3 linked regions of the Macaca fascicularis genome follow. The protein of the gene in region 3 interacts with the protein of the main gene of each other region in a pairwise test. Links are inferred from orthologs where the notes say so. Each region holds a gene or a part of one and is shown on either strand. Other genes may lie near its edges.

Region 1 (3,500 bases), on a different chromosome or scaffold from region 3:
GTATCTAAAATCTTACAGAGGAAAATGGCTTCCCAGACTTGTGGCTGATGCTGTCCAGCAAGTCACCCAGGCCAGCTGTGCACCTTTTCCAACCATATCCTAGTTGTGATCTGTCACTTTCTGAACAACTTTTACAAGGATGGGGGATGCAGCAATTAATAAAATACTGACAACTTGTACAGTTTACCAGAAACCCAGTAAAGGGTTACTGTTCATTTTAAGTACAGCTTTCTAGCCACATCCATAGCATCAATGTGGACAAAATATAAAAGGATTTATGAGGGACACACACCGGGTGAGTAGGATTTCTGAGTTTTCTGGATTTAAGCAGGTATAGCTCACAGCTGAAGGTATGATAATGAAATATGGAGAATAAGCACCAACAATATATCACCTTTAGCTGCTAAGGATAAACGACAATTGTAGATGAGAGAGGAGAGCGAGGGAGGAAGAAGAAAGGGAAGAACAAGCAGTAGGCACTGACGTTCAGGACAGGAAAGAGGGCCCAACAGGTTCGTTCATTTGTTAGTTCACTGATTCATCTAACATATCCAACAGATACTTCTGAAATACCCAGCACTTACTGATAGTGGATAGTGCAGGATGTGGCAATGTTTGTCCTCCCTGAAATAAGCACCTCTCAATGTCATCAAGCAAGGGTCTAGCTCATTTACACTGCAGTCACTCAGGGTATTTTAAAAACTGAAACGCATGTTGAAGATCCATTCCAGAAGAAACAGCTGTGCTTATCCAGAAGCCAGGCTTCATGTGGTAACCTCAACGAAAGGTCCAGGCCCAAAGATTCCAAGAAAAAAGGAAATTAAATGAAGATGCCTGCCTCTGAGTCCTGCAGGGAGGCTGAACCCCTCAGAAACCTTTCCGTCCCGGCATGCTGTGAAGGAATTATGTCAGACCGTGAACCTAAGGGCTCTTGGTGGCCTGGTGGTGGCTGTGAAAGCCAGCTCTAACCTGAGAAATGGCAAAATGAGCAGGGAAACACATGGGGATGGGGGGAGGCAGCGGATGGTGGGGAAAAAAAACAAGCAAAGGACTTGTCCACTTGTCCACCAGGACAGGTCCCCGGCAGTCACAGATGACAGCTGAGAACAGCCTTGGTCATGAACAGGAAACGCAGCAAACCTGGCCCGGTTCTGCGGTCAGGAGAAAAGAAGCCACACACCTCAGGGCTCTTGTAGAATCCCCGTGGCACAAGGCATGCACACTAACCGCTGAAAATGGCCTGTGTCACGGCAAGATCCATCAGGACAAGCTGCCCTGCACAGCATCAGGCCACGTGGAGCCTCAGACCAAGACGGTGCTGCTATGTGTGCAGAGCCGATGCAAGTGCCAGTAAAGCCCTTTCCACCCTATATTCCTGGAATCATACATGTTGCTCCTTGACTTTCTAAGTTAGGAGAGAATGCAAAACATCTTGAAAGGCCCCCAATTAAAAAATTGTTAAAAGGAAATACAAACAATTAGTGCTTTAGTACTTTTGAAAAAGTGAGCTCATTCTCTAACAATGCAAGGCAACTGAGACAGTGGGGTGTAGAGTTCTGAGATGAAACCCAGCCAATGCATGCATCCCTCCTTATCCAAAGGGATCCGGTCCCTGAATTCAGACAACAATGACCACCTGTGCATGTTCCACAGAAAAGCCATAGGTCCTCCCTAAGGCCAGCAACCCTGGAGAACACCTTTTTCATCTACTCTCTAAAGTCTTTCTTCATCTCCCCAAATCTTAGGCAGAAAGAAGAACGACTGGGAGCAATGTCTCCACACTGCAGGCCTTCCTTCTGAGAAGTCTCTTCAAACTCAAACATTTTAAGCCAAGATCATATTTTGTGCATTATACTTAGCCCTTAAGGACTCTGGACCAAGCACTTAATATTGTAATTGGTTTTCCAGCAGTTTCTCTAAGTTTCTGCTCGATTGAGTTAAAAGCGCTGCTGTCCTTAATTTGCTTAAGGCTTCAAACCCGATCTAAAGGAAATGGTGCACAGAGCTCTCGTCATGTGAGAACAATTCAATGTGATGTCTTGCCAGGAATGATAAACTCTGGTGACTTGATAAGAAAATCTCAGAGTTCAGATTTCAGATGAAGTTAGCTTTCAGGCTGGCATTCCCGTCCAAGCACATCTAAGGCTCCGCAAAACTGATGACACCACAAAGGAGTCCAGTTTCCACCACCACGATGCTCCTTCCTCAAAGAGGAGAAGATCCCACTTGCCTCTCTCTGGAGGGCTTTGAATGCCTCTCTGATCAGTCAACAGGACTCCTGAATGTGCACTTATTTATTGTGCCAGTAACCTTTTCAGAGGACAGCAGGGGCAGCAGGTAGTACATACTTACTAGTCTTACAGTGTGCATTTAAAAATGAAATTGAAGCCTACTAGAACCAATACAATTCAAATACATCAAACTCCTAAATGCTTGTTTTGGAAGTCTCTCGATTGTAGAAGGTGTATTTGTAAAGACGTTTGCAAAACTGGTCGAATATTTCCTTCACACACGAAAAGGCTGCCTTCTGGGATGCAGGCTCCACCCCCACGTCTGAAACTCACTGCCCCCAGCCTGCCCACCCCTGGAAGTGGGTCTGCTGCCCCAGTCCAGTGGCTTCATATCTCCCACTCACTGCACACACACAAAACTCATCTCTCTCAAGAACCCTTGTTTTCTTTACAATTCATCTCGTAAGTGCTTTAAAAGCTTTTCAGAGATGAACTCAGTGGCGCTGCCTGCCGTGGCAATGACCTTGGGATTATACGGTTTACAAAGAGAAAGCAAGCAAACAACAAAAGGCGGTGTCAGAAACCCGCCACCAGTCTTGCAAAGATTGCTTTCTCTGGGAAACAGACCGAGTGGAAACAAAGTAAATCACTGGGGCCTTCTACGTACACACAATGGGCAACCAGGAGAGAAAATGACGTTTGAGTCTGTAAAATACAAGAGGGGCAATCTTCGGAGAGAAGCAGAACCACCTTTGTCAGCTACAAACATTTTTTCAGTTAACCTCCCATCTCCAGAAATGGACACCCACGATCCCCAAAACAGATGCAAGGAAATCACGGAGTAGCAAACATTACACTAAATTGCATTCATCTGCATCTCTCGCCTTTCTAGTGTACTCACACAATGTGAAATGGGCGCGGCACACAGAGCCACTGTGCAAGGCGCATTTACTGCCTCCAGCCAGAGCTGCGGGCGCAGCGCACTTACCGAGGACTCGCTGTCCCTAATGAGGAAGTCGCCCTCCACGCCCCGCTCGTTGAGGGCACACTCGGCCTGGTGCCGCGTCACGTTCCCGTAGTACCACTCTCTGCCCGCGAAGCGCCCGCTGGACGAGGGCCCGGTGTAGCTTATCTGTGGGGCGTGTGCAGGGTGCAGGGCAGGCCCGTCACTGAGGACCACCACGTAGTTTTTGGGGACGAGGCCCACCTGGCCCCGGGCATTTTTGCATTTCCACCACTCGGGGTCGTTCTCGGGCTTCTCGATCACCT
Region 2 (3,530 bases), on a different chromosome or scaffold from region 3:
TCTGTCTTGGGTAACAAGGTCAGCGAGTCAGAGATTACAGGAAGAAAAGCAAGTCTGAAAGGCTTTGGGAAAGTTACCAAATCTCCCCGAACCTCAATTCATCCATTTGTAAAATGCCAATGATGATTTCCAGTTCTGAGAGTTGTCATGAAAATTAAATCACCTGGAAAACTGTAGTAGACACTTAATAAACACTTTTGGCTGATACTAATAATGGTGCTCGCTCATGTGCCAGTTAATCCTCATATAACCCTATATGGTAAGTATAATCATTATCTGTATTTTACCAACATGGGAACTGAAACACAGAGATATAAAGAAAATTGACCAAAGTCAATCGGTTAGTAAGTAGCAAAGCCAGGTTCAGAACCCAGGCAGTCTAGCTGCAGGGTCTTTCCTAACCACTTTATTATACTTTTACTGCCCTTTGGAACCTATAACTGGGCTTGAGGGAGGAAGGGAGGAAGTGGCAGGAGAGATGGACAGACCTGAGCCAATAATTCATTCTAAGAGCAGTTTTTATTTAGAAATGTGCTTCCACAACTTGGTGGCCACCTGGGGGCAGGTGGCCCCAGCTTGCTTGTTCACTCTTTCCCAGCCCAGGGGTTGGGTCCTTGGGTCTAAAGCACAGGGCAAGTTCTCAAGGATCAACACCCCAGACAGTCCCCATGGTCTGGGGCTTGGAGCTGGTATGAAGGGTGAACCAGGTTCCATTCTGGACTGTTTATGGTTGGAGGCTGGGCCCCTGGCACCAGGACCTCAGCTCCCTCTCCTAGTAAGAGCTGGGATCACCCACAGGCCAGCTGTGGCCAGGTCCTGGTGGATATGACATTGGGAAGAACAAGGGGCTAGGAGAGGCTAATTTTCTGGTGCTGGATCCAGTTTATCTTCCTGAGGGGTGGAAGCCGGGACAGGAGCCTCATCCCCACCGTTGAGGGACTTCTGCTGCTCATTGCTGTTGGGCGAAGGGGTCCTGTTGCCCTGGGATCCCCAGCGGGTCAGGCGCTTTAGGGAAGAGTCACGGCGGGCAAGCAGAGGGGGCTGGAAGCCTGTGAAGGAGCTGCTGGTGACCGGACGCTTATCTGGCAGAGAGAAGGCAGGCAAGTAAGGAGAAAGGCATGCAAAGGCGAGAGGCAAGGGGCCTTGCCTCAGCCCTTGGAGGAGAGGGGAGCCTCCTGACTGCCAGTCCTACCTTTGCTGGCCCTAGGAGATCTGGAGGTATCCCTTTCTCCCTCTTTTCTCTCGCCCAGCTCCAGGGAAAGCTCCAGAGTCTATCCCTTCTCACCTCCAGGCTCAATTGGATGCATGAGCCGGTTCATCTGGACATTCCAGTGTTTCACATTGGTGCTGGCCTGGCGCAGTTTTCTCTGGGCAGCCTGTGGGGGCAGGGCCAGTGGGGAGTGATCAGAACCATCATCCATGGCATGGAGTCTTGATCTTTTCAGGTTCACAGGCTGCTTAAAATCTGACCAAGACTACTGATCATCTCCCCAGAGAAGAACCATGTATGCTCATGAAGAGTTATTAATATATACATGAATAGAGTTTGCCTCCAATTTCATGGGACTCATGGACCTCCCAAAGGTAAAATGTAACCATAATAATAGTTTCCAACCAATATCCCTGATGAACATCAATGCAAAAATCCTCAATAAAATACTGGCAAACCAAATCCAGCAGCACATCAAAAAGCTTATCCACCATGATCAAGTGGGCTTCATCCCTGGGATGCAAGGCTGGTTCAACACATGCAAATCAATAAATGTAATCCAGCATATAAACAGAACCAAAGACAAAACCACATGATTATCTCAATAGATACAGAAAAGGTCTTTGACAAAATTCAACAGCCCTTCATGCTAAAAACTCTCAATAAATTCGGTATTGATGGAACGTATCTCAAAATAATAAGAGCTATTTATGACAAACCCACAGCCAACGTCATACTGAATGGGCAAAAACTGGAAGCATTCCCTTTGAAAACTGGCACAAGACAGGGATGCCCTCTCTCACCACTCCTATTCAACATAGTGTTGGAAGTTCTGGCTAGGGCAATCAGGCAAGAGAAAGAAAGAAAGGGTATTCAATTAGGAAAAGAAGAAGTCAAATTGTCCCTGTTTGCAGATGACATGATTGTATATTTAGAAAACCCCATCGTCTCAGCCCAAAATCTCCTTAAGCTGATAAGCAACTTCAGCAAAGTCTCAGGATACAAAGTCAATGTGCAAAAATCACAAGCATTCTTATACACCAATAACAGACAAACAGAGAGACAAATCATGAATGAACTCCCATTAACAATTGCTTCAAAGAGAATAAAATACCTAGGAATACAACTTACAAGGGATGTGAAGGACCTCTTCAAGGAGAACTACAAACCACTGCTCAGTGAAATAAAAGAGGACACAAACAAATGGAAGAACATACCATGCTCATGGATAGGAAGGATCAACATCGTGAAAATGGCCATACTGCCCAAGGTGATTTATAGATTCAATGCCATCCCCATTAAGCTACCAATGACTTTCTTCACAGAATTGGAAAAAACTGCTTTAAAGTTCATGTGGAACCAAAAAAGACCCCACATTGCCAAGACAATCCTAAGCCAAAAGAACAAAGCTGGAGGCATCATGCTACCTAACTTCAAACTATACTACAAGGCTACAGTAACCAAAACAGCATGGTACTTGTACCAAAACAGAGATATAGATCAATGGAACAGAACAGAGCCCTCCGAAATAATACCATACATCTACAGCCATCTGATCTTTGACAAACCTGACAAAAACAAGAAATGGGGAAAGGATTCCCTATTTAATAAATGGTGCTGGGAAAATTGGCTAGCCATACGTAGAAAGCTGAAACTGGATCCTTTCCTTACTCCTTATATGAAAATTAATTCAAGATGGATTAGAGACTTAAATGTTAGACCTAAAACCATAAAAACCCTAGAAGAACCTAGGTAATACCATTCAGGACATAGGCATGGGCAAGGACTTCATGTCTAAAACACCAAAAGCAATGGCAACAAAAGCCAACATTGACAAATGGGATCTAATTAAACTAAAGAGCTTCTGTGCAGCAAAAGAAACTACCATCAGAGTGAACAGGCAACCTACACAATGGGAGAAAATTTTTGCAATCTACTCATCTGACAAAGGGCTAATATTCAGAACCTACAAAGAACTCAAACAAATTTACAAGAAAAAACCAAACAATCCCATCAAAAAGTGGGCAAAGGATATGAACAGGCACTTCTCGAAAGAAGACATTCATACAGCCAACAAACACATGAAAAAATGCTCATTATCACTGGTCATCAGAGAAATGCAAATCAAAACCACAATGAGATACCATCTCACACCAGTTAGAATGGCAACCATTAAAAAGTCAGGAAACAACAGGTGCTGGAGAGGATGTGGAGAAATAGGAACACTTTTACACTGTTGGTGGGACTGTCAACTAGTTCAACCATTGTGGAAAACAGTGTGGCGATTCCTCAAGGATCTAGAACTAGAAATACCATTTGA
Region 3 (4,163 bases):
AGCCAAGATTGTGTCACTGCACTCCAGCCTGGCGACAGTGAGACTCTGTCTCAAAAAAAAAAAAAATTCTCACTCTCTCTCTGAGTCAGTATAACACCCTTCTTTCCCCTTGGGCTTTCCATATCCCTGGACAGATGGCAAACAAGAATGGACTGTCTTAAACTTCCAGTTTCTGTGTTTACACAGTCCTAGGAAAAAGAGGACTCTAGAACTTTAGGTTTGAACCTAGGCCTATCGTTAAATTAGGAGACAGTTAAAGTGGGAGGCAAGGCTGGGTATAGTGACTCACGCCTATAATCCCAGCACTTTGGGAGGCCGAGGCGGGAGGATCACTTGAGGTCAGGAGTTCGAGACCAGCCTGGTCAACACGGTGAAACCCGTCTCTATTAAAAATACAAAAATTAGCCAGGCATGGTGGCATGCGCATGTAGTCCCAGCTACTGGGAAAGCTGAGGCAGGAGAATCGCTTGAACCTGGGAGGCAGAGGTTGCAGTGAGCCATGATCACACCACTGTACTCCAGCCTGGGGGACAGAGTGAGACTCTGTCTCAAAAAATAAAAAATAAAAATAAATAAAGTGGGAAATGAGATATGATCCTGCAGAGTTCCCTAAATCTTTATTTAGAGGCAGTCTGAAGTACTCCTGAAATGTGTTTGGGGATACAGTTTTAAGGGCCTTAAAGATGTATAGTGATATTCAGCTTATATGCTTCTTAACTTTTTAGTTCATGAACCTCTGAGAATCAGACAAAAGTTACAGACCCTCAGAAAGTTATGACCAACCTTCCCGAAATAAACATTCACACTTACACAGTAAACTCAGGGCCTTTAGTGACTGCCAAGAAGCCAGGTTAAGGATTACTGCCTCATATCCTTCCAACTTAACAAAGGCAATAGTGGTAATCACTTAAAGACGAACAGTTTGATGTGAACGAATGTAAAGAGTTGATGGAATACTCAGGAATTCAAGTGCGTTTAGAAGGGACAAGGTAATTGTGATATTAGTTGGAAAGAGTGGAAGGGAAGGATGCTCACCTGGGCCAGGAGCCTGGCTTAACTGACCCACTGGATTACATGACCAATACCATGGTGCACTGGAAACTAAAGGCCAGTAGGCTACTACTAGTGCGCCAAAATCATCTGCTTCATTCAGTTGTCCTGTGTGCTGGGGCCAGTTTTGTGTGATTACAAACCTGCTTATGTCCACACTTTTTCAGTGTCTGTATAATAATGTAATTAAACCTCATGTAAACCTATGAAAAATCACTGCATTGAAAACTGTTCCTTCAGGAATACTGATTTTTTAAAAATTGGTCCTATGAAAACTAAGTCAAATGTTTTGGAGAGACATAACGCAAAGAAGAGTATGCATTTTAAAAATTGTTGAGTTGGGAGTGAGCAAGACAACTGCAAAAGATTGAGGGGTGGGACTTAATCTCAAAAGTACTCTGCACTCAAAAGCGTCTGAATTCTTACTTCACTTTAAATAAAGCAAAACGGGAAATCAAAGATGATGAAAGTGCCTGAGTGGCTCTCATCTCAGACTGCACTGTAGAATTACCTGGGAAGCTTAAAAACCAGGCCACTCTCCTCCCCATTCAGATTCAATAGTCTGTACTGGGGTCCAGGCATCCACAGTTTTTTAAAAAGTTCTCAGGGTACAGCCAGGTTTGAGACTCCCTGTGTAGTTAACACTGGAAAGAGAATTGGGAACTCCGAACAGCAGTCTTAGACACAAGAACAGTCTCACCACTACATCAAAAGATTGGTGAAATGGACATACTTTTAATTATAATGTTCAAGATATGTATGCATTATCTTTAAAATTCCCAATCTGGTTTTTTCAATTACAACCATCTAACCTAATCATGTAATATAAAAGGGCTTCAAGTGTATGATGGGAAAGAGGCTCACATGACAAAAAAAAAAAAAAATCTCCTGATCTGGGCCCACATTACCAAACAGGTCTCAGCTTGAGTCTTCTTTCAGTTTAGGAGTCTCAGAATAGGACGCAACACTAGGAACCCCAGAGGACTCGGGTTCTCAGTTTCCTGGTTGGTTTTCTGAGTATGGCTGGGTACGGGAATCAGAGGGGCAGTTTCTTCTAAACCTTTCATTCCCAAAGGCCGCTGATCCCCCAGAAGCAAGGCCAGGTTCTGCACGTGTGTTGAGGTCGCCAGGAGGTAGCCATGGGGGTTGGGGGTTTGTGTGGCGTCGGGGGGGGCCTGGGAAGGAAATGTTTCTCCTATCCTCCATTTCACAGGCAGTCCAGAAGGCTCCGAACTGGGTCAGGGAACAAAAAGTTGTTGCACTTGGGACGATGAGCCCCATGAGGCAGGCGAATCTCAATCCTACTCTCGCCAAGGGCGCCCCAACCCAACCTTCTTGCCCTCCCCTACACAGACACTTACCCTCCCCTAGTTACAACAGGGAACCGAAAAGTCCAGAGGAGAAAAAAGAGAGAACCGAGCCACTTCGAACCTAGAATTCTCCCCCCACCAGCGCGGGGATGGGACTCCAGAGGTGGGAGACCGTACACGAGCTGGGAGGGGAAGTCCAAGGGGCTGGGGATCACTCACCGCGGTCCAGCCCGGGCGGCGGCTCCCAGCCTCGCACCATGGGCCGGGGGGAAGTGGGGGAGAGGGCAGGGGGCCTCCGAGTGGGAGTGGGGTTGCTGCCCGGTGCGGCCGCTCCGAGCCCACCCGAGCGATGGCCGAAACCGGGACTGCCCCCCCACACCGCCCCCGGGAGTGCGCCGGTCTACCCAGCCCTGCTCGAGCAAGTTGGAGGCGGGGCGGATGGGTGGGGTGGGCGTCCAGAGGCGGTGCCAAGGTGGCCCGAGTCCTGATTGGTGGGCGCAGGCGGGCGGGCACGGGCGAAGTGCACTGGGCTGGCCATTGGCTGCTTGGGTCTCGGCTGAAGTCGGCTATTGGCTGCGTGGGCCTCAGCTGGGGTCATCTATTGGATGCGTGGGGCAGGGAAGATGTCCCCTGGGGCCAAGCTGCGGTGCCTGGTACCTCCCCCTACCCTCGACCTATGGGCGCTGGACCTTTGGAGTACCCCGGGCCAGGATCCTTCCGAAATTCCCCAAGGAGGGACACTGCACTTTGCCGAACTGTCTGGACCGCCAACAACTCCCAATTTGTTTCCTTCTGAAGGAAGCCCTCCAGGAAGACCTTTTCAGTGCCCCCTCCCGAGCCATACACACGAGCTGCGCCTTTCCCAGCCGAGAGCCCAACCGCCACCAGCAGCGTCAGCAGTAACAAAGCGCCTAAAGCAACCGGGAACTTGTTCTCGAGATGGATCAGATGTCTTGCCACCCGGAAAGACGAGGACCTTAGGAGCCTGCGGGCGACTTAGGCCGTTCCCTGGGTCAAACTGGCACCAGACCGATGTTCCCAAAGATGAAGTGCTGGAGCAGTCACCTCACTGGGACCTACCAGACCCTCCGGCTCCCCTGCTTGCCCTAGAAAAGAGGACCCGGAGTTCTGCATAGTATTTGTTTTTCACTAGCTAGGAAGGGATGAAGACTGAGGTGGGAGAATAACTTGATTCCAAGAGTTCGAGGCCAGTCTGGGCAACATAGTGAGACCTTGCCTCAAAAAAAAATTTTTTTAACTTACAAAAAGAAAGGGATGACAATAAAACGGACTTCACCAAAGCAGTATCCCACACAGTATGAAGTTATAGGCCAAAATTTGTATTTTAGGATTCCCCATCTTCTGTGAGACAAAGTAACAAATGTAAGAAGCCAGACTTGCTCAATTCTGCTTGGCAACATAATTTCACAAAGCCTCTGACTCTGAAGTCTCTGGGAAGACCCTTTGAAGACAAAAGAGGATAGGGCACACAGTCAACCATGTCTCTTGCCTGAGTCACTATATTCCCTAAAAGATAAACGGGCTGGGAGCGGTGGCTCACAAACCTAATCCCAATGCTTTGGGAAGTCAAAGAGGGAGGATTGCTTGAGGCCAGGATCCAAGACCAGCGAGGCAACATAGCGAGTCCCTGTCTCTGCAGAAAAATTTAAAAATTAGCTGGACTTGGTGGCATGCACTTGTAGTCCCAGCTACTCAGGAGGCTGAAGCAGGAGGATCGTTTGAGCCCAGGAGTTGTAGGCTGTAGTGAGCTATGATTGCACCACTGCACTGCAGCCTAGGCAA

Evidence for each region. The genes of interacting proteins can lie anywhere in the genome.
Region 1: the proteins of HOMEZ (region 3) and NCK2 interact in binary tests that used the Homo sapiens proteins (3 or more experiments, as listed by UniProt). The two-hybrid records come from large-scale screens. The link is inferred for Macaca fascicularis from reciprocal best matches to the Homo sapiens genes HOMEZ and NCK2.
Region 2: the proteins of HOMEZ (region 3) and DEF6 interact in binary tests that used the Homo sapiens proteins (3 or more experiments, as listed by UniProt). The two-hybrid records come from large-scale screens. The link is inferred for Macaca fascicularis from reciprocal best matches to the Homo sapiens genes HOMEZ and DEF6.

What each region holds. Positions count from the first base shown.
Region 1 is NC_088387.1:10,312,471-10,315,970, reverse strand, and holds part of NCK2 (cytoplasmic protein NCK2), read right to left. Parts: coding exon 3,220-3,500; intron 1-3,219. UniProt on the Homo sapiens protein: Adapter protein which associates with tyrosine-phosphorylated growth factor receptors or their cellular substrates. Maintains low levels of EIF2S1 phosphorylation by promoting its dephosphorylation by PP1.
Region 2 is NC_088378.1:136,373,120-136,376,649, forward strand, and holds the end of DEF6 (differentially expressed in FDCP 6 homolog), read right to left. Parts: intron 1,377-3,530; coding exon 1,286-1,376; exon of another isoform or gene 1,193-1,285; intron 1,083-1,192; coding exon 859-1,082; 3' UTR 501-858; downstream 1-500.
Region 3 is NC_088381.1:91,054,605-91,058,767, forward strand, and holds the start of HOMEZ (homeobox and leucine zipper protein Homez), read right to left. Parts: upstream 2,801-4,163; 5' UTR 2,620-2,800; coding exon 2,580-2,619; exon of another isoform or gene 2,412-2,579; intron 1-2,411. UniProt on the Homo sapiens protein: May function as a transcriptional regulator.